Linked DNA regions of Oryzias latipes. The protein of the gene in region 1 purifies or fractionates together with the protein of each later gene. This does not show direct contact. Links are inferred from orthologs where the notes say so. Each region holds a gene or a part of one and is shown on either strand. Other genes may lie near its edges.

The links.
Region 2: the proteins of emc1 (region 1) and transmembrane emp24 domain-containing protein 2 purify together in Homo sapiens (affinity purification with mass spectrometry; 3 studies listed by BioGRID and IntAct, with this or other methods). This does not show direct contact. The link is inferred for Oryzias latipes from reciprocal best matches to the Homo sapiens genes EMC1 and TMED2.

Annotation. Positions count from the first base shown.
Region 1 is NC_019865.2:7,724,567-7,733,604, forward strand, and holds the start of emc1 (ER membrane protein complex subunit 1), read left to right. Parts: upstream 1-3,879; 5' UTR 3,880-3,919; coding exon 3,920-4,011; intron 4,012-4,435; coding exon 4,436-4,563; intron 4,564-4,645; coding exon 4,646-4,711; intron 4,712-4,790; coding exon 4,791-4,884; intron 4,885-4,963; coding exon 4,964-5,092; intron 5,093-5,266; coding exon 5,267-5,393; intron 5,394-5,472; coding exon 5,473-5,622; intron 5,623-5,771; coding exon 5,772-5,939; intron 5,940-6,542; coding exon 6,543-6,614; intron 6,615-6,848; coding exon 6,849-6,947; intron 6,948-7,073; coding exon 7,074-7,170; intron 7,171-8,369; coding exon 8,370-8,486; intron 8,487-9,038. Other genes in the region: E3 ubiquitin-protein ligase UBR4, read right to left, coding at 3,001-3,125. UniProt on the Homo sapiens protein: Part of the endoplasmic reticulum membrane protein complex (EMC) that enables the energy-independent insertion into endoplasmic reticulum membranes of newly synthesized membrane proteins.
Region 2 is NC_019870.2:1,424,281-1,433,325, reverse strand, and holds transmembrane emp24 domain-containing protein 2, read right to left. Parts: upstream 5,915-9,045; 5' UTR 5,781-5,914; coding exon 5,601-5,780; intron 3,611-5,600; coding exon 3,418-3,610; intron 3,335-3,417; coding exon 3,317-3,334; intron 3,105-3,316; coding exon 2,997-3,104; intron 2,921-2,996; coding exon 2,796-2,920; 3' UTR 1,844-2,795; downstream 1-1,843. Other genes in the region: ptpn11 (tyrosine-protein phosphatase non-receptor type 11), read left to right, coding at 7,666-7,679. UniProt on the Homo sapiens protein: Involved in vesicular protein trafficking. Mainly functions in the early secretory pathway but also in post-Golgi membranes.

The DNA.
Region 1 (9,038 bases):
TTCACCATTTTAAAATGTCTAATTCAATAGGATTTACTTCAATATTGGTTCATTTGTCAAACTTTCATTATAAAACAAAATCGCTTTAGTTATTAAATAAAACCTTTTGCCAAAATAAGTGATTTTAAATGATGAAATATGTTAATATAATTTAGAAAATGAAAATTTTCTAAATTATATTATATTTTCCTGAGAAGTAGAAATGATATTTTCCTGAGAGGTAGAAACTAATTAGAAAAGTCAATTTATGGATGTAACGTATCAACATTGCATTATCAAAATAAAGACTGATATTAGGCCTGCACAATATACCGCAAATTTATCGTTATCGCAACATCAAGCTGTGCAATATGCATACCGCAAAATATGTCAAAAATCGCAATAAATGGTTACCTTAAATGTGCTAAAACAAACTCATGGCAGCTTGAAATATTGATCAAATGAAATAAATCCCTTTATGCATTTAACCAATCGGAAGGACCCGTTTACGTTGTTGATCAATCAGATGAGCCCTTTTATGTTTGATGTTTGCCTCCTACTTCGACAAGGGTCATTTGGAGTATAATTTTTAAACTGTTGCAGTGAAATGGAAATTATGTTTTTGGTTGTTTTGCTATTTGTTTATATACCACAAATTATATCGTTATCGCAATATTAATCACCAATATCGCATATCGCAAGTTTTCCTCATATCGTGCAGCCCTAACTGATATTATTTATATATATATATATATATATATATATATATATATATATACACACTTTAATTTAACCTTTTTCCTTCAAGACAAAACTAAATCATACCTTTGTCTTAAGAACTATTGTTAGAGAAGTGAACCCCGATGCCAAAGTTTCGACTAAAACCAGAACATTCATCACTGCTGATCTTGAAACCGTTTACCAGCATATTTTCTCCTGACCTTGTCTTAGCATTATTTACTGCTGTTCTGAGTAAGGCCACCATCTTTTATGCCTCTGTAACCCCATTTAAATTGCATTTTTATATAAAATATGGCCTATTTTAGAGACCCAAAGCTACCCAAACATCACACTCAAAAAAAGGAGGAGCATAAAGAGTCTTTAACAGTTGAAGAGACTTTAAACTTCTGACCTATTGATCAGAAGAACAGCTACAGCTTATAGATAGATTTACACCTAAATAACACTGAAAGACATATGTTTCTTCATCACAAATGCAGTCACATAAGGTCACATAACAGCATTTTTAACTTGAAATTTGTGAGGATGATGAGAATTACCAGTATTACGAGTACTTCATTAAACAATTAAGAATACATTTTTTCTGCTATGGCTACCACATTCAATCTCTTTTAAGCCAAAAGTTAAATTTGTTAAATTATGAAAGAAAATCAATAAAGATCCGTTTATAGCGTGGGTTACTTCACCAAGTTAAACAAGCATGAAATGTGAGAGTCATACTTGTTGTCAAGCTTTTCTTTCTTTCACAAAAATCTTCAGAACTAACATTTTTTCCTTGACATACTGTAAAGCTAGATCTAAAAATAAGTTTTAACCCATCAATAAAAGACATTCATCAGTTCTATCCACTGCATGAAAACAGCAACCAAAAACATAGCAGGCTGCAGACTCACAATTTAACTTGCAAGCTAACAAGAAGCTCAGCTTGTTTTTCTTCTAAGTTTATTTAGTTTAAAGAACTTAGCAGATAAAAATTCACATTTAAATGTGTATCCACTTAAACCAATTTATAGTTATCACATAATAAAAAAGACTAGCTTGTTTGTCAACAAACACATTAACTGTGAGCATTCAAATTAATATGTAGCATTTCTGTAATTAAAGCAAACCTGGAGCAAAATTCAAAGTGAGGTTTACTTATATTACATTTTTTTATTGTTTCCATCATAATTGAAACATTGTTATGATGTTTCAAGTCTTATAAGGATGATGCTTTAAAGAAAAGACTTTAAAAGTCTCTTTAAGTACAGCTCGATTTAGTTCCATTTAACTTCATACTGCATAATCACCTGAGGCTTTACACAAACAGGCTTGATTGCTTTTCCTAACTAAAGAGGAAGACAAACATGTCTTAAGATAAGGGTTCTGTTTCTGTAATCGAAGATAAAGAAAGTAGATAAAAATAAATGATAAATGTAAGCTTAATGAAGTAAACCATTTGTTCAAATCTTGCCATTTGTTGGCAGCATGTTTCAAAGGAAAATGAAACTTAAACGTAATCATTATGGGAAGCTCTCCACTGGGTGTCATTAGCCCAGACGATTTGGGTATCAAGTAACTACTTGAATATCGTTTTAAGTACTATAAACCGAACAGCAATTAAGATCCAGCAAAGCTAAGATATTTGTTGTGTGATAACCTACAAATTGATCACTGACTAAAATTAAGTAAGAAGTTAGGTCCACGCCTACTTAACCCAAACATAACCATGCAACGATCGGGGTTCTAACTTTTAACCATCAGCTAATGCTTATTTCACGCATGACAGTCACAACGTTAACTCAATTTAGCAAGTTCGGTGCACAAACCGAATGTATTTGAGCTTTAACAAGTAAATCTATCCCTGATTGGCCAATTTTAGAGCTACGTATGTGAGGGCCCATGGTTAGCTAATACTGGAGTTAGCTAGCTAATGATGAAGCAATTTTTTTAAACCACCCAACAGCCACATCATAAAACGTTTATAAAGCAGCTGGGTTATTTTTAAAAATCATTCAGATTGCGAAAGGTCCCTGGGTCTTGTTAAGACATATAAAGTGAATAGTTATGCAACCCATGACAACATTAAAAAGTTAGCATACTTGCTACAGTCTGAAACGAACTCGATCACAGTGCAAGTTTCGGCGAGTGGACTACTAGCTGCTAACGTTAGCTCAGTGTTGTTTCCCATAGAACTACACTGTCAGTTAAGCTAAGTTAGCAAGACAGCTAGGTCTGGATAGTATTGGGGAGGTTAGGGACAAACAGGACATTTTTATTTTCTGACATGTAAACAGGTACCTGTTAATTATAGAGCCAATAAGCTGAGGAAGCTCCTTTGTTTCAAAAGCAGTATACGAAGCTGATAACAGCGGTCGTACTGCCGCTGTCCATTCGTGTTCCCCATCGCCTCCGCTTGACGCCATCTTGAAATATCATAGAAAAGCTAGCTGTGGCGGAAAGAGGTGTGAAAGTAAATTACAGGGGGCGCTCAACACAATCTGAAAGAACCTCCTCAAAAAATATTGATGTTTTTTTTTGTTTGTTTGTTTTTTAAAGAAAAGTATCATGTAAATCTCTCATAATAGTAAAGTAATTTTTTGTAAACATTTAAGAGGTAATTTTTTTTTGCTATGTTTGTGTAAAACACCCTAGAGATATGAAGAACTTTTATTCAATTTTATTTACTGCTTGCCAAAAAATTCATAGTGTACGCATAACAGATACTAATCATAGGTTCCCTTATATTTTAGTTTATTTATAATTTTTATTCGTTGGGATTTCATGGTTTTTAGATTTCACACACAATAGATTGGATGTTGTTTTTTTTATTTTAAAGTAGAATTTATATAACAATGATTAATAAATCTCACATTCAACATTTTGAAAAAACAATATATATTGTATTACTATTAATTACAATATTAATATTTAACTCGATTAAATATTTTACTTTTCAGGTATGTAATTAAGCATGGTCATTTAATAATGATTATACTACTACTACTACTACTACTACTACTAATGATAATAATAATAATAATAATAATAATAATAATAATAATAATAATAATAATAATAATAATAATAATAATAATAATAATAATAATAATAAAGATGCCTGTAGATGGCAGCCATTTGTTTGAAAGTCAAAGAAAAAACGGAAGTGACAACAACTTACTTCCTTTTCTTGCGGAAGCGCACTCAAACTGCTGCTGCAATGGCAAAGCTAATTTTGTTGTTGCTTAAATGTATACTTTTTTGTGGCACTGTTTATGCCGTGTTTGAGGATCAAGTTGGAAAATTTGATTGGTAAAATAAGTTAATACTTCAAAATAAGTATTTGTAATAATCTGTTAAAATGTTCGCTTCGATTTTCTGCTTTTATGTGCCAATGCTAATGCTAACATCTGTCAGGCATTGCTGCTGCGGCTCGGTGTGGGATTAACTCCTCAAAAGGATGCTTTAATTCCTTGTTTTAAGATTATTGTATTTCTGTAGCTGATTTATTGTCTTGTTTAAATAGACACACCTAATAGCCTAGCAAAAGTGATGTATGTTTTAAAGTATCTGACCATGGCAATGGAAAAAGTAATAGAACCACGAAAGTGGTGCCAAGGACACTTTGTCAGTCAAGGTTGCATTCATATTCATTAGTTCTTATGTGGCATTTAGCCTGAGAAAACTCATCTTGTTGAAGATTTAATTTTTAATATCTTATTCTTGTGTTGCACAGGAGGCAGCAGTATGTAGGCAAGGTTCGTTTTTGTCATTTTGATGCACATATGCAGTCATCCAAAAAAGTTCTACTAGCAACGGAGAGTAATGTTTTTGCTGCACTTAATACCAGGACAGGGGAAGTCTGTGAGTATTTTACTAGTCTGAAATTGATTAAGCCCATGATCAAAACTGACATGCTGAATGGAAAGACAAATTACTATTACAGTGTGGCGGCATGTGGACAAGACTGGCCCAGAGGGAAATATTGATGCTTTTCTGCAAAATGGGCAAGGTAAAGAAGTTCTATTTCAGAGATTTTAGTGTCTATGATCTTTAAAAATGTTTCTAACAGTTTTTTGGTTCCTTCCTAGACTCTGTTTTAGTGGTAGGCAATGGCCGCGTCCTGCGTTCCTGGGAGACCAATATTGGTGGTTTAAACTGGGAGGTTGTGCTTGACTCCGGCAGGTGAGTATTTCATTGACAGTCTGTGCAGTTATTGTATTATATACTTTGAACCTTTTTTTATTTTTTATTCTATTTTAAGCTTTCAGTCCACTCGTTTAGTAGGACAGCAAGGAACAGTTAAAAATGTTGCTGTTCTGAAGAAAACTGCCATCTCTCTTCATTACTTGTCTAATGGTCATCAAAAGTGGATTGAGAACCTTCCAGACAGGTAAAATATGATAAACTTACCAATCGGCAAAATTTGCTTCCATACAATCGTATTGTCAGTGACATGAATAAAACTTTTATGTATCTTTATGTTATAGAAACACACATTCTTTAAATACTGCACATTATGAGCATTGAAACTGTTTTGTAACCACCTGTGTTTTTATCTTGACAGTGATACTGTGGATTACCAAACGGTATACTCGGGTGGAAATGGGGAAGTTTATGTATTGGGAGTTGTTCCGCATTCCCACATTGCTGTTGTTGCTTTTAGTGTGGATGATGGAGAGATACTTAAGCAGGTATGATGCATAAAGTTGAAATTAATATAAGTAAAACAAGCCACCCATTGTTTTTACCTAATACTTGTTTTGGTTGCAGAGCTCAGTTGAAGCTCCTTGGCTGTCCAGTATACCAGAAAGCTGTCAAATAGTTGACCAAGAGATGTTGATCTGTGTAGATTCTACGACGATGTCCCTTTACACACTTGACTTAACCTTGCAGTTACAAATGAACCAGATTCCCTTACAGGTAAAAAATGTATACATATTTCTGCTTTGTGGAATTACTGTCCATTGCTCTTTTTCATCATTTAATCTCACTTACAAGAAATTTCACACTTTAAGACAATCATATTCTCCATGTGAAATTTGGCATTTGTTTTGTTTGTCTTTCCTCAGTCTCTGGAACTTGAAGTAGACCCGGACTTTCGTCCATCTTTAGTGTCACACCAGCCTAACCCGGCTAAGCAGCCACTGTCAGAGTTTTTTCTTCAGCTTGGACCTGATCGCTATGTTCTTCTCCAGTTCAACAGTGGGCAGATAGTGATGTTGAGGGATTTCAAACCAGTATGTAACGCTTTCTCCAAACAGCACTTTTCTATTTTGACTTTGAGATTGCAGAATGTGTGCTATTCACCTCGACTCCAGTACTTTAACCCTTTTTAAGCTTGCTTTCTTGAAAAATGACATTTTAAACAATAAAACAATTTAAAGGGAGTAAGACTTTGGGGTTGCTCTTAAAATGCTTTCATTTGAAGAGCAACCATCTATAATTGAACCAGAAAAATGATAGCCTTTGGAAAATGACATCCCATTCTGCACTGTGCACCACATTGTAAATAAGAAATTGTTCTTAATGTTTTGCCTGGTGAAATAAAAGTTTCTATTTACTGTGTAATAGTCGACCATAAATGTGCACTACTAAGCTTTGAGGACACATTGTGCTCTTAACTGCAGGATGCAATGCTTTTTAGTTCAAATTGTTTAAATATTTTTTCTTTCCTGGTTTAAATATCATTTTAACGAATAGTGTGTTATATGACTACGCTTGACTGGTCCTCTTATGACCAAGGTAGTCATGTAAAATTACTAACTGAAGTCATCCCCCTGTAAGTTTAAGTTTAAAGTTGCAATTTCTGTAATCAGCTTCATATTTATCTTTATTTTTAGGCCCTGCTTGTTTCGTTTGCAACGACTGGAGAAAAGACTGTTGCTGCTGTCATGTCACCGAAGAATAAAACTGTAAGTTCATGACAATTTAGAGCTTAAATGTTCATTACTGGATTTTGGGACTCAAATATGGAACCTAAAAATCATTAAACTGGTGGGATGAAAAAATCTGTAAGACTTTTTACATCATATTATTTTTTTGTGTTGAAACTGAGAACAGGTACAGTCAGGAGTACGGTAATTTTATGTAAGTGCTGTTGAGGTATTGTTTTTAATGTGCTATATTATGTTGCTCCTGCCACACAGGCCTCCACTATTAACCTCTATAATGCTGAAACTGGGCGCAGACTTCTTGACACCACATTGATTTTTACCATGGATCCTAATGGTGGGAAACCAGAGAGGGTGAGTCTGTAGGTCCAAATTGTTTTCTGCCGTGGCCTTATCATAGATTTTTAAAATTAGCAGTAACATTTAGATTAAAATACCGGATAAATTAATCAGTCCATTTGTTTTATTTCTGTTTTTCAGCTGAATATTCAAGCGTTTCTGAAGAAAGATGATTCTGTTGGCTACAGAGTGATGGTGCAGACCAAAGACCACGCGCTTACTTTCATACAGCAGCCAGGTATAAAGAAAAGCTAAGACAAAGATGACACCAAATATCAAAGAATGTTTTGGATTTGTTTCTACTTTATGTTTTCAATGACATTTAGCAACACAAAGACACAAACTGATAAATTTGGATTTTCAGAGCATCATGATGACACAGCATCTATTCATTAAAAAAAAAGTTTTTTAATGATATTTCATGTTGTGCTGGCTGAAAAAATGTGTTGTTGGACTCATCAATAAACAGTTAAAACACATTAACAGTTTTTTATAAAAGCATACATTTAGTCATACTTTTCGTATACTGTATGAAACAAATGTAATAGCAGAAATAGTTCTGGGATTTGGGGTTTTGTGCAACACTTCTACAAAAAAATTACTTTATTACACTTAACTTGACAGTTGATTAGGTTGGTGTTTATCAGAATTTCCAACAAATAAATGTGGAATCAAAGTTAAATCCTGAACAAAATGTACTAATTTCTTCAAGTCAGTTAAATAGGAGCTACCCACTCGTGGAAGTGTGTTAGGACGACTCAATCGTGCAATGAGCCTAACCTTGTGGCATTAATCTAGCCTTACACATAGGTTTTGCTGTCTTGTGCATAGCTAGAATCTTTTTGGATTCAGTTTTGTCTCGTTTTATTTTTGTATTGTTTCCCTTTTCAAGTAGATTGATGAGGCAGGGCATGGATAATTAACACCAACGCACATTTTTGGTGTCATTTCTGCCATGGTGCGGCACCAAAGTAGTGCCCTGCTGTTTTAATCACAGCTTTTCACAAGCTAATCTGATGTTTTAAACTGCTTTGTTAAAAACTGTTGTTTCCTTGAAGAAACTAGCTCAGTGATTGTTTATAGAGTTACATTACATGAGAGTTTTTGTCAGTGGAAGTCTCTCGGATGTTATGATGTCTGCTGCTATTCATTATCTCTTTCCGAAGAGCAAAGTTTTGCCTTGGTTTTACATTTTCACTGATACCACCTCTGAGTCATCAGATGTGCAGCTGACATCAAGCCTTTTTGTTAAATACAGATTCAGGTTTCATGATGTATTCAAAGCTGTATCCTTCCCACCCTCATGAAAATAGGAAATGTATAGGAAATGCCATCAGTGTGTTGTTGCTAAGAAGTGATAACAAAAAGCAGATTTTTCTTGCAGAGTGTGGAAAGTTGTAATGGTCAGTTGCAGAACAATAATAAGTGTTCTTTCAGGGCGTGTATTGTGGACCAGAGAGGAGGCCCTATCAGACGTGTTGACCATGGAAATGGTGGATTTGCCCCTCACTGGAACGCAGGCAGAACTGGAGGGAGAGTTTGGCAAAAAGACCGGTAAATGTCTAACCAAAGCTTACTCTTTATCCTTATGATGTCACACGGTTTAGTTATTGTTTCCACATTTAGCGTTTGCTGTCTTTTAACCACTTTATGCCGTATGTTGTTAATTCTCAGCACACCCTTTATTTTAAGGCTTCCCTTAATTTAGCATCACAAGAACAGGAAAAAATGTGGAAGAATATTTTCTTTTTATAGTTGGAAATAAAGTCAGGCATTAAGGGGTTAACTTTAGTGTATTTCACAAGTCTAATACTACAAAAGAAATCCTAGAAATATGTCAAACATTCTTACATTATTTTTTTCTGTCTTACCAAGAATTCCACTTTTTTAAGAAAAAAATTCCAGTTACTAAAACATATTTTCTTAAACTAAGATTGTTGTTGAAAAGCTTTTATTGAGATTATTTTTCTTGTAAGACAGAAAATAAGACATTTTTCCTTGAAACATGGAAACTACTACTACTTTATCAAGATTAAGTTTTTTGCAGTGCAGGTTTTTAAGAAGGAAAAAAATGATTTAATTGCGTCATTTATCAGTTAAGTTTTC
Region 2 (9,045 bases), on another chromosome or scaffold:
GTAGAAACCAGGAGGACGGACGCCTCCAGCTCAGCCAATTAACACAAAGTTAAAACGACTAATAATCAATTATTGGAGCAAACACAAAGATACAGAGGAAAAACGCCCACGGTCAGTTTACCATGATGGGGGAATGACACTGACCTCTCCCATGAGTATAGTTAATTAAAAAAACTAAAGTATTTTGCTTTGAGACTTTTGATTTTAAACAAAGCTGGAATAAATCCTCAGAATGGAGCTTCATCTGGTGTTTAAGACAATTTCCACATTGTTTAGACTTTGTCTTTTGCTTTGTTGCATTTATACATTTTTAGTTTAGTCTCCAGACATTAGATCTTTGTTATCAAACAGTTTGATCTCACTTTTAGTAACTTTTGCAATAAAAAAATTCAGGTTCCCTGCTCAAAGTTGAGTTTTGTTTTTTGGAGTTTCAGGTTCATTGTGTAACTATTGTGTAATATAATAAAATATCTCTGTATACACAGAAGAGGGGGTTATATTAAAAAGATGGATGCCAAGCATTGCCACAAAAACCTTTTCAAGGAAAGTTGACGGAAGGAAATTGTAAAGTAAAAAATGCACAAAAAGCCCCAAACAGCAAAAGGAGATCCAGATACTGAGAGATTTGGATCTTGTTCTGATTTGACTTAGAATGAACCGTAACTGAGTTCTGCTAACCCGCTCATGAATAGATCCTGAGTTTTCACCTGTTATATGTGGAAAGATGTGGGTGTGGCTGGAATTAAGAATTCCATTAGCCCCGCCTCTTTTACTTCCAGCTTCAACCAAATTAGGTGCATTCAGTCGCCATTTTTCCTCGATGCAGTGCAGATGCCGCCATGTTGGAGCCAGACGTGGTCAGTAAGCAGTGATTGGTCCAAACTGTGTCCAAATCTGAGGGCCGCGTTCTTCCTAGGCTGCATTTGAAGGCCGCTTACGTCGCAGCGCCGCGACAAGTACCGTCCAAATTCAACGACTCCTTCGAACACGGCCTTCTTTTTCCCGATTTCAAGATTGGTCTGGTGTTTCCTTCTCTGCTTCCCATCATGTCCCAAGATGCAAGACGAGCCAGGAAAACCTTCACTACTCCACTCACGGTTGCTAGGCGACAGGACATTCCCAGCTGTGACGGCTGGAATTAACTGAAGACTAGACTCGCCCTCGAATTTGGACACGCCCCAAGTAATGGTTTCTATGGCAACCCCTTTTACATATCAGGAGTGAGCTTGTTGGAAGGCCACACCCCTACCACGTGAAAATGGGCTATGGAACCACCTACTTTTATTGAGGCATCTGATTGGTCAGTTTATAACTTGAAAGAAAGAATGAGGATTATGAAGGTATAAAAAAAATCAGATCCAGAATGGTTCTTCTGCCGGCGTAAGTCATGGGATTTTGGCTTTGGAGCCACTTCCTGTTTGGAACGCCGTGGTCAGTCAGTGGTTCAAATTCCGTCACTAAGCCACTTAAACACTATACAGAGTGGGACTATCTAGCATCCTGGATTTTAACACAATTTGAACCTTTTTTGAACCACGACGTTTCCCATTTGTCAAAGTAAAATCTAATAAATATGGTTTTATGAAGACCATTGATGAATCCATTGTGTTCGGATGAGGAAAACTTGGATCATTAACGTTTCAAATCAATGCCGTTGTTGCCAGTCTTGAGGGCAACAATGCACTCTTTTGCAGACCTCTTTCCAAGTCACTGAATTTTGGATTTGGACCCCCAGACAAGCCCCCCCCCCTGTTTAGTGCACTGAAACCATAAACACGCCATGGACCTGCGGACCGGGACTTATGGCAGTGTCCTGACAGACGGGCCCACAAACACATCAGAGAATCGTACAGAATATCGGCTTTATTATGAAATCTGGGGATTTTCAGTTGAACCAGTCTGTTTGTACAGAGCTACGTCACGGATCTGGTTGATCACATCTTTATTACAAAACCGAAGCCTGATGAGGGACATGCAGCTGGTGAGAAGGCTCCAGCTGGACGGCTGCACGCCACCAGACCTGCTGCAGGAAATCACACGCCCAGAACTGCATTCAAAGTTTTTAATGTTCAACCCCAAACCTGACAGAAATATAGATGCAACAAAAAGCACACAGCAGTGTTGAACACCCCCCCCCCCCCCTCGACCCGCCCAGAAGAACCTCGACATGTAACGTGGACTTTCCTCTGCTGCAGAGCCAAACCGTACCGTTCTGACCCGGTTCTGCTCGAGCTGGAGGCGTCAAAGTCGAGGTTTTAAAAACGAAAGAATGAACGTCGAGCCTGACGCAAACATCTGAAGACGGCGGGAGGTGAGAGACGTTCCTCGAAGTCCCGCCTTCAGATAAGGGAGGAGGTGGAGCTTCCCGTCCAGAGAAGAATCCCTCAGACATTTTTACATCAGGAGTGCAATTTGTTGTTCGACAGCATGAACACAACAGATGACAGAAAACACAACCGGGGGCATCTTCTAAGGGGAATAAAACCTTCTCACAGCCATTCCTTCCCTTGGAGTTTCTCATTTTTGACTACAATGACTGAAAATGAAAAGCCCCTTTTCTGCTTCAGCTGGACTAAAACTCTCCAACAGATATGGACAATAAAAATCTGTTAAAAAAAAAAAGACCCACATTTATGGCAGAGTCCTTCAACCATCTGTTTTTTACAAAAGGAAGCAAACAGGAGAAGAAAACTTCCAGCCAGTCTCTTTTCCAGAGAGTAAATTACGGTCTTGGTGTCAAAAACAAAACAAAAAAAAACAGTAGAGGAACACAGGGAGGGATTGTGGAAATCGCTCTACACGACTCGTCGCACTTCAAAAAATCTCTTCAGGTAGTAAATTTGTCCGAGCGTCATGGCGACCAGGACCAGAGCTTCAAAGAAGGACCACAGGACCACCCTGCTGTTCGTGTTGTCATTGACTGAGGAGAAAAAGAACACAACGATTCATTTCAGATGCACTTCCAGCGTTGGAGGCACGTCTTTCTGGGCACGTACTCGCTCTGTGTATCCTCTCGCGGACCTCCATGTACTCCTGCTCATGCTTGACCGCTGTCATGGCAACAGCCAGCTCGTTGATCATCTCCTCCAGCTTGTTCTGATGAGCTGGAACAGGCAGAAAAACAAAAGAAGGTGTCACCACGTCGCCTGCACTCAACTCGTGCACAAAACCCATGCACGGCACTTTCACACGTCTGATGCACGTGCCGGGACGACACGCTGTCTAAAAGGACCAGATGCTTGTTAGTTTAAACTGCAGAACCGGTTAGATTTACAAAAAAAACGCCACAGTGCATCACAGGCTGCCTGATCCCTACCGTCCCAGCTGTTGGCACCTACAGGAGAGCAAAGGCCGTCAGAACGAACGGAGCATAAGAGCAACGCGTGAGGCGCGGATCAGAGAGAACGCTCAGCACACCTTCAGTCTCCATGTTCTGGCCTTTGGGAGCCTCTCCGATGTCGATGGTGAACATGACGATCTTGGGCGTCATGGTGGACATCTTGTTGCTGAAGCAGAACTTGTAGGTTCCGTCCATGTGAGCAGCCACAGAGTACTTCCCGCTGGACTCCCGGTCCCCTTTGTAGATCTGCTTCCCGTCAGGCCCCATTATCTACCAACGGAATAAGGAAACCATTTTTGATAAGATACCAGTGTCCAGTTGATGGCAGCAGGTAAATTCTGCACACGAAGCACAGCATCTTTTCTTGAAAACCTGTTTTTGAAGACCCGGATTAATGATTAGACCACCTACCCAGATACAAACAACGTCAGTTTAGCTCAAAGTAAATATATATATATATATATATATATATATATATATATATATATATATACATACATATACACACACACATATACATACATATATATAGCTTCATGATGGAAATTGTGTTAATAGTCGATTTATGCATTTATTTAGAAAAACAAAAACTTTTCTTTTAGTGACGGAAAAAGGATAAAGTTAAGATCAACAAATATCAAAACAAGGCTTTTTATATCAACATCTAAAAAAAAAATCCAAAACTTCCTCCTTGACATGTTCTACAATAGAGAAAAGCATTAAAGAGGTGAAATCATTATGGCCTCCTGAGTGTTTACAGAGCTCGTGTCAGATTTTCCATCTGATGTTTAAACACTTTCAGTCACGCTTCACTTCTTCTATTCAGTTGAACCGAGACAATCTGCTGATTTCTATCCTGTCGCTCTACGAAATTAAAAAAAATTGTAAACTGTATCTCTGAAACAGGTAGAACTTTATTTACTTTCCATTTGCTACAGAGGGAGGCAGCGGACATTAAGTTTGAAGGCCCCCTCTGATGAAAATGGCGTTTTTGACGTGGAGGACAAACAGAAAATTCAGCTTAAATCCATGATTGTCTTTGTTTTCCTGGTCTGAGCTGGAATCTGGATCAGAACTGGACGGACGGATGGATCTGATGTTGCTGCCATTTCTTTGCTACGCTAATGTTAGGTTGGGGGTGTGAGGGGCTGTAAGCTAGCAGGGGAGCATGTAAACAAAGTAAGGGAAGGGGTTGCTGGCTTGTTCTGCACCAACAGCTCAAGAAGTGAATTTCTAATGACCTCCTGCCGCTCTGCAGAAAGTATGTCCTAAACAAATTTTTAGGTTTTGGCTAAAAACTGCATCATCATAATCAAAAGGCCTTGAAAATAGATTAAAAGATGATTGGAGCGGAACTTTAAAGACCATATGGCCCTGTTTGAGTTGTTAATTGAAACACAGGTGGTTGAACATGAACACAATCGTTTTAAATAGATCTATTGCAGCATCAGAGAGGTTTCTTATCTGAAAGCCCCAGTTTGGAATTTTTTGTATTTAGACACAATCAACTGAAGCACTCTGGAAATGCCAGAAGATAAACTTTACTGTCACAACATTAGTAAAATCAGTTTAATACATTTAAACACTAAATTGAACTCCACTGAATATGTTTAGATACTGAATATGCAGTTTCTTTAGACCACAGCAGAAAGCGTGTTATCAAAAAAGTGGTGATAAGTGTAAAAGATGACTCATCACAATGCAGACACCTGTGTTTTTGCTTCACCATAATTCACATTTCAATACCTCTTCTTTACGGTTTTAAAACCTGATAAAATGGTTTTATTTCCTATAGTTTACGGGTTTTACATAAAAAGTTTGTATTTAGACACATTGAATATTTAACAAACCATATGGCAGAAAGTGAGTCAGAACACCAGCTTTGTGTGTCAACTATCTGAACATTAAGTCGACAAATCACAAAATGTTAAATAATGTTGCACAACTTTAATTTGTAACAGTTAGCATCTCTAACGCAATGCTAAAGTTATAAATGCCATAACTTCTGTGTATAAACTGTCTTCAAATGATCCAGGAAAACGTTATTATTGTTAATATTTAGGTCAAACGTTTCTAACATCAAGTTAAAGGCCACAAATCCAGCGCTACCTAGCATCAAGTTGACATTACGTGGACAGACAGCTAAAGGCTAACCGCTAGCATTAGCATAGGCCCCGTTTAACCTCGAAAGATTTACAGGAACAACTCAAAATAAAAAATACATTTTGTGTTGATACATTGCGTCAATTAAATGTTTCACCTCGACGTCGATGTCCAGAAAGCCTCCTTCTGCCACCTCGAACATGAGGCCCATCTTGGTGCCGGAGTTCACCCGCTCATAGAAGCACTCTTCGGCATGGGCGTCTATGCTAACGAAGTAGCCGGACGCGGTGGCCGTCAGGACGGCCAGCAGGACGACCAGCTCCGAGGCGGTAAACATGTTTCAGGCAGAGAAAGACGCGTCCGGACTGTCCGGCCCTCTTTTCCGAGGAGAATCCTGCAGGATGGAGGTACGTGGAGGAAGAGAGGCTCCGCAGGAAAGGAGCTGCACCAGCCTCGGCTGCTGTACACCGCTCTGAGACTGCCACGTAAGGGCTTACAGGACAGCAGCTCGAGAGGGACAAACTTAAGAAAAGCGGTCCGTAAAAAAAAAAAAAAAAAGATTTCTAAAGTCGAACCTGGCTTTCTGCGCATTCTTATAAAAAACAATTAATTAAAGTATATCTTCAGAAAATACATGTAAAGATTCAGTAGTAGTTGTCTGAAGTTTTTCCCTCAATAATCCTTGAAAACCATATGGTGTGAGTTATCTTTGAGGCATTTGAAAGTATAAAAAATATTTTTATGTCTTTTAAATTGTACATCTTTTACATCAGTACATCCACGTGTTTGCTTTGTATTTCTCTAATTCTTCTTAACGGTTTCTATAATTTCGTCTTTTTATAATGACTCAAACTGAAGTCTAAAGTCAATTGTGGTGGATAAATATAATTAATTTATCATAAATCCATTATTGAAAATATTTTGATTTATAATGTAGGCTTTGACTCACTTTAGCATGTCTCCAGAAAAAAAAAAATCTTCAGAGTTTATCCAATTTAATGCATGTGCATGTTTTGTAAATGTATTTTTGTGTTCAAAAGTTCAGTGTCGTGCGACTGTTTTTGTGCACATTCTTGGTTTTCACAGTTGTGTCAAGGAAAATGTATTTATTTGTTGGTCAAACTGCAGGAAAAGCTGGACACACAAAGTGGTGTTTCAATAATTATTTTTGAGGATTCAGTATAAAATTTCATCTTTTAAAGAAAGATACAGTAAGGAAACTGGTTTTAAAACTCTGTACATATAAATATATATATATATATATATATATATATATATATATATATATATATATATATATATATATATATATATATATATATTTTACTAAGACACATTGTTCTGGGATTATTTGCTTCAGGAATAATCCACCTATCAACGTTTTTGGATAAATTATCGTATTGCTGGAATCTTTGTCAGTAAAATCTAAGGATTCACTGAATATATGGAGTTTGTGAAATTGCTGCTTTCTTCACAAAAGGATAAAAATAAACTTTCTGAAGGTTAAGAAGCAAGACAATTCAAATATTTTTGGCACAGCTTCCGTCAAATTATAATTTATTGAGTAAAATAAAATAATTTTATTTCAGAAGTGTACCTTATTGTCTTTGCAAGGATAATAATGGTGTCTGATTTAAATCATGGAAAAATGTTTTAACCTCCCAAAAAAGTATTTTTTTAAATAGAATTGTGACATTTGGACGTTCAAAAGTCGTCATAATATTCCAGATGTTTTTTTTAAAAGATCTGGAAAATAATATATGTATATAAGAAAACAAAAACAAGACACAAACTTTAGCATTACATCCTGCAAGTACTCTCGTAGTAAGACTTTGGGGTTAGCTTAATTTATGTCCCGCTTTATGCCGGTTGAGGGGAGCTCTTCCCGTCAAACCGGTTACTTCCGCCAGGGCGAAGCGCGTCGAGAAACGGGAGCTCCAGGTGTCCAGATCCGCGTTCTCTGTTTTGTCGCATGTTTGGTGACGTCCAATAGTTGCCGTGAAGTCTCCGGACCGAGGCCTACGGACATTTCCCCCCGAAGCGGACGGCCATTCACGTTTCTGCGGATGCTTAAGTAGTTTCTAGTGCCCGTTGTGATCGGGTTTCTCTGTTCACCGATGAAGCACTTTATTGATTGATCAAGGCGGGAACGATCGGAAACCCTAGCTAGCTAGTTGAAGCTAGCGCTAGCTGCCAGCGAGGAAGTGAGGAGGGGGAAAAAAATGACATCTCGGAGGTAAGAGAGGCTTGTTTGGGACACAATTTAAGCGCAGGCAGGGACGTTGGAGTGAACCCAGATTCACGGATCTGCTCGGTAGTCGAACCCAACCGGACCGACGGTTCTGGAACAGCCCGAGGGCAGAGGAGCCGCTGTTGTCCGGGCGTTCAGTGAAGTTCCACACCGGCGTCTGGAGCCGTTACTTAGTGGACGAGTCGACAGCATTTCTGCTGGGGTGGAACTTTAGGTTTTTCACAAAAGTTTATGAAAACGATCGAATAATCAGGGAATAACTTTAAACATAGAGTTACTTTAATCCATAACATGTGATTTATGTCAGTGTTTTGGTTTGTTTCTGCACATTCGGCGTTAGTTCACCACTTTAATGGTCATTTTTCCAAATAAAGAAGTTTCAAATTCAGTCATAAATAGATTTCCTGCCAGCTGTTTTCAGCAGAGACTTGAGTCTCTCATGCAGGGAGACTTGTGATCAATGCTCACTTTTTTTGGTTTTTATTTATACCTCTGGGACAAAAGAACAACAACAACCTTTTAGTGCAGAAAAGCTAAATGTGTTTTCTTGTGCTTGTTTTTCAACGTGCAATTTGCGTCTAAGAAGAGGCTCATTTTAACCACAACTCGCTGGGAAAAAGTGACTTGTGAGCATCTTTGGTTGAGTTTCAGCTGATTTGATGAGAAGCAACAGAAAGGAAAGAGGAAAACCTTCCGTCTGCTTCATCTGACACATTCCACAGAACATCCACAAGACGGAAGCGTCTGGCCGCAGAGGCGCCGTCGCAGCCAGGCCTTTGCTCAAGCAAAAAAAAAAAAGTGTTTTTGATCAGCAAACAGGAAGAAAGTTTGGCTGAAACACCAGCGTGAGGTTTAGCGTTGAAGGCACATGATCTATTTAAAGTTTCATTAGTCAAAAAGGCAAAGACGAGGCGGATCGTGTGCAGAGAGGAGGCCAGAAACGCAGACGGGACCAGACGCAGACGCAGACGGAACCAGACGCAGACAGAGACGGGACCAGACGCAGACAGGACCAGACGCAGACGGGACCAGACGCAGGCGGGACCAGACGCAGACGGGACCAGACGCAGACGGGACCAGACGCAGACGGGACCAGACGCAGACGGGACCAGACGCAGACGGGACCAGACGCAGACGGGACCAGACGCAGACGGGACCAGACGCAGATGGGACCAGACGCAGACGCAGACGGGACCAGACGCAGACACCCAGTCAAACTGTAGAAAACATGAAAAATGAATTGGAGAGGATGCAGAAGCCATCCTTCTCATTCAGACAGGGGCTGCAGGATATGAGGAAAACTCGCAAAATGCAATTTTAGTGATATAACTTGTGATAAATGAACAAATAT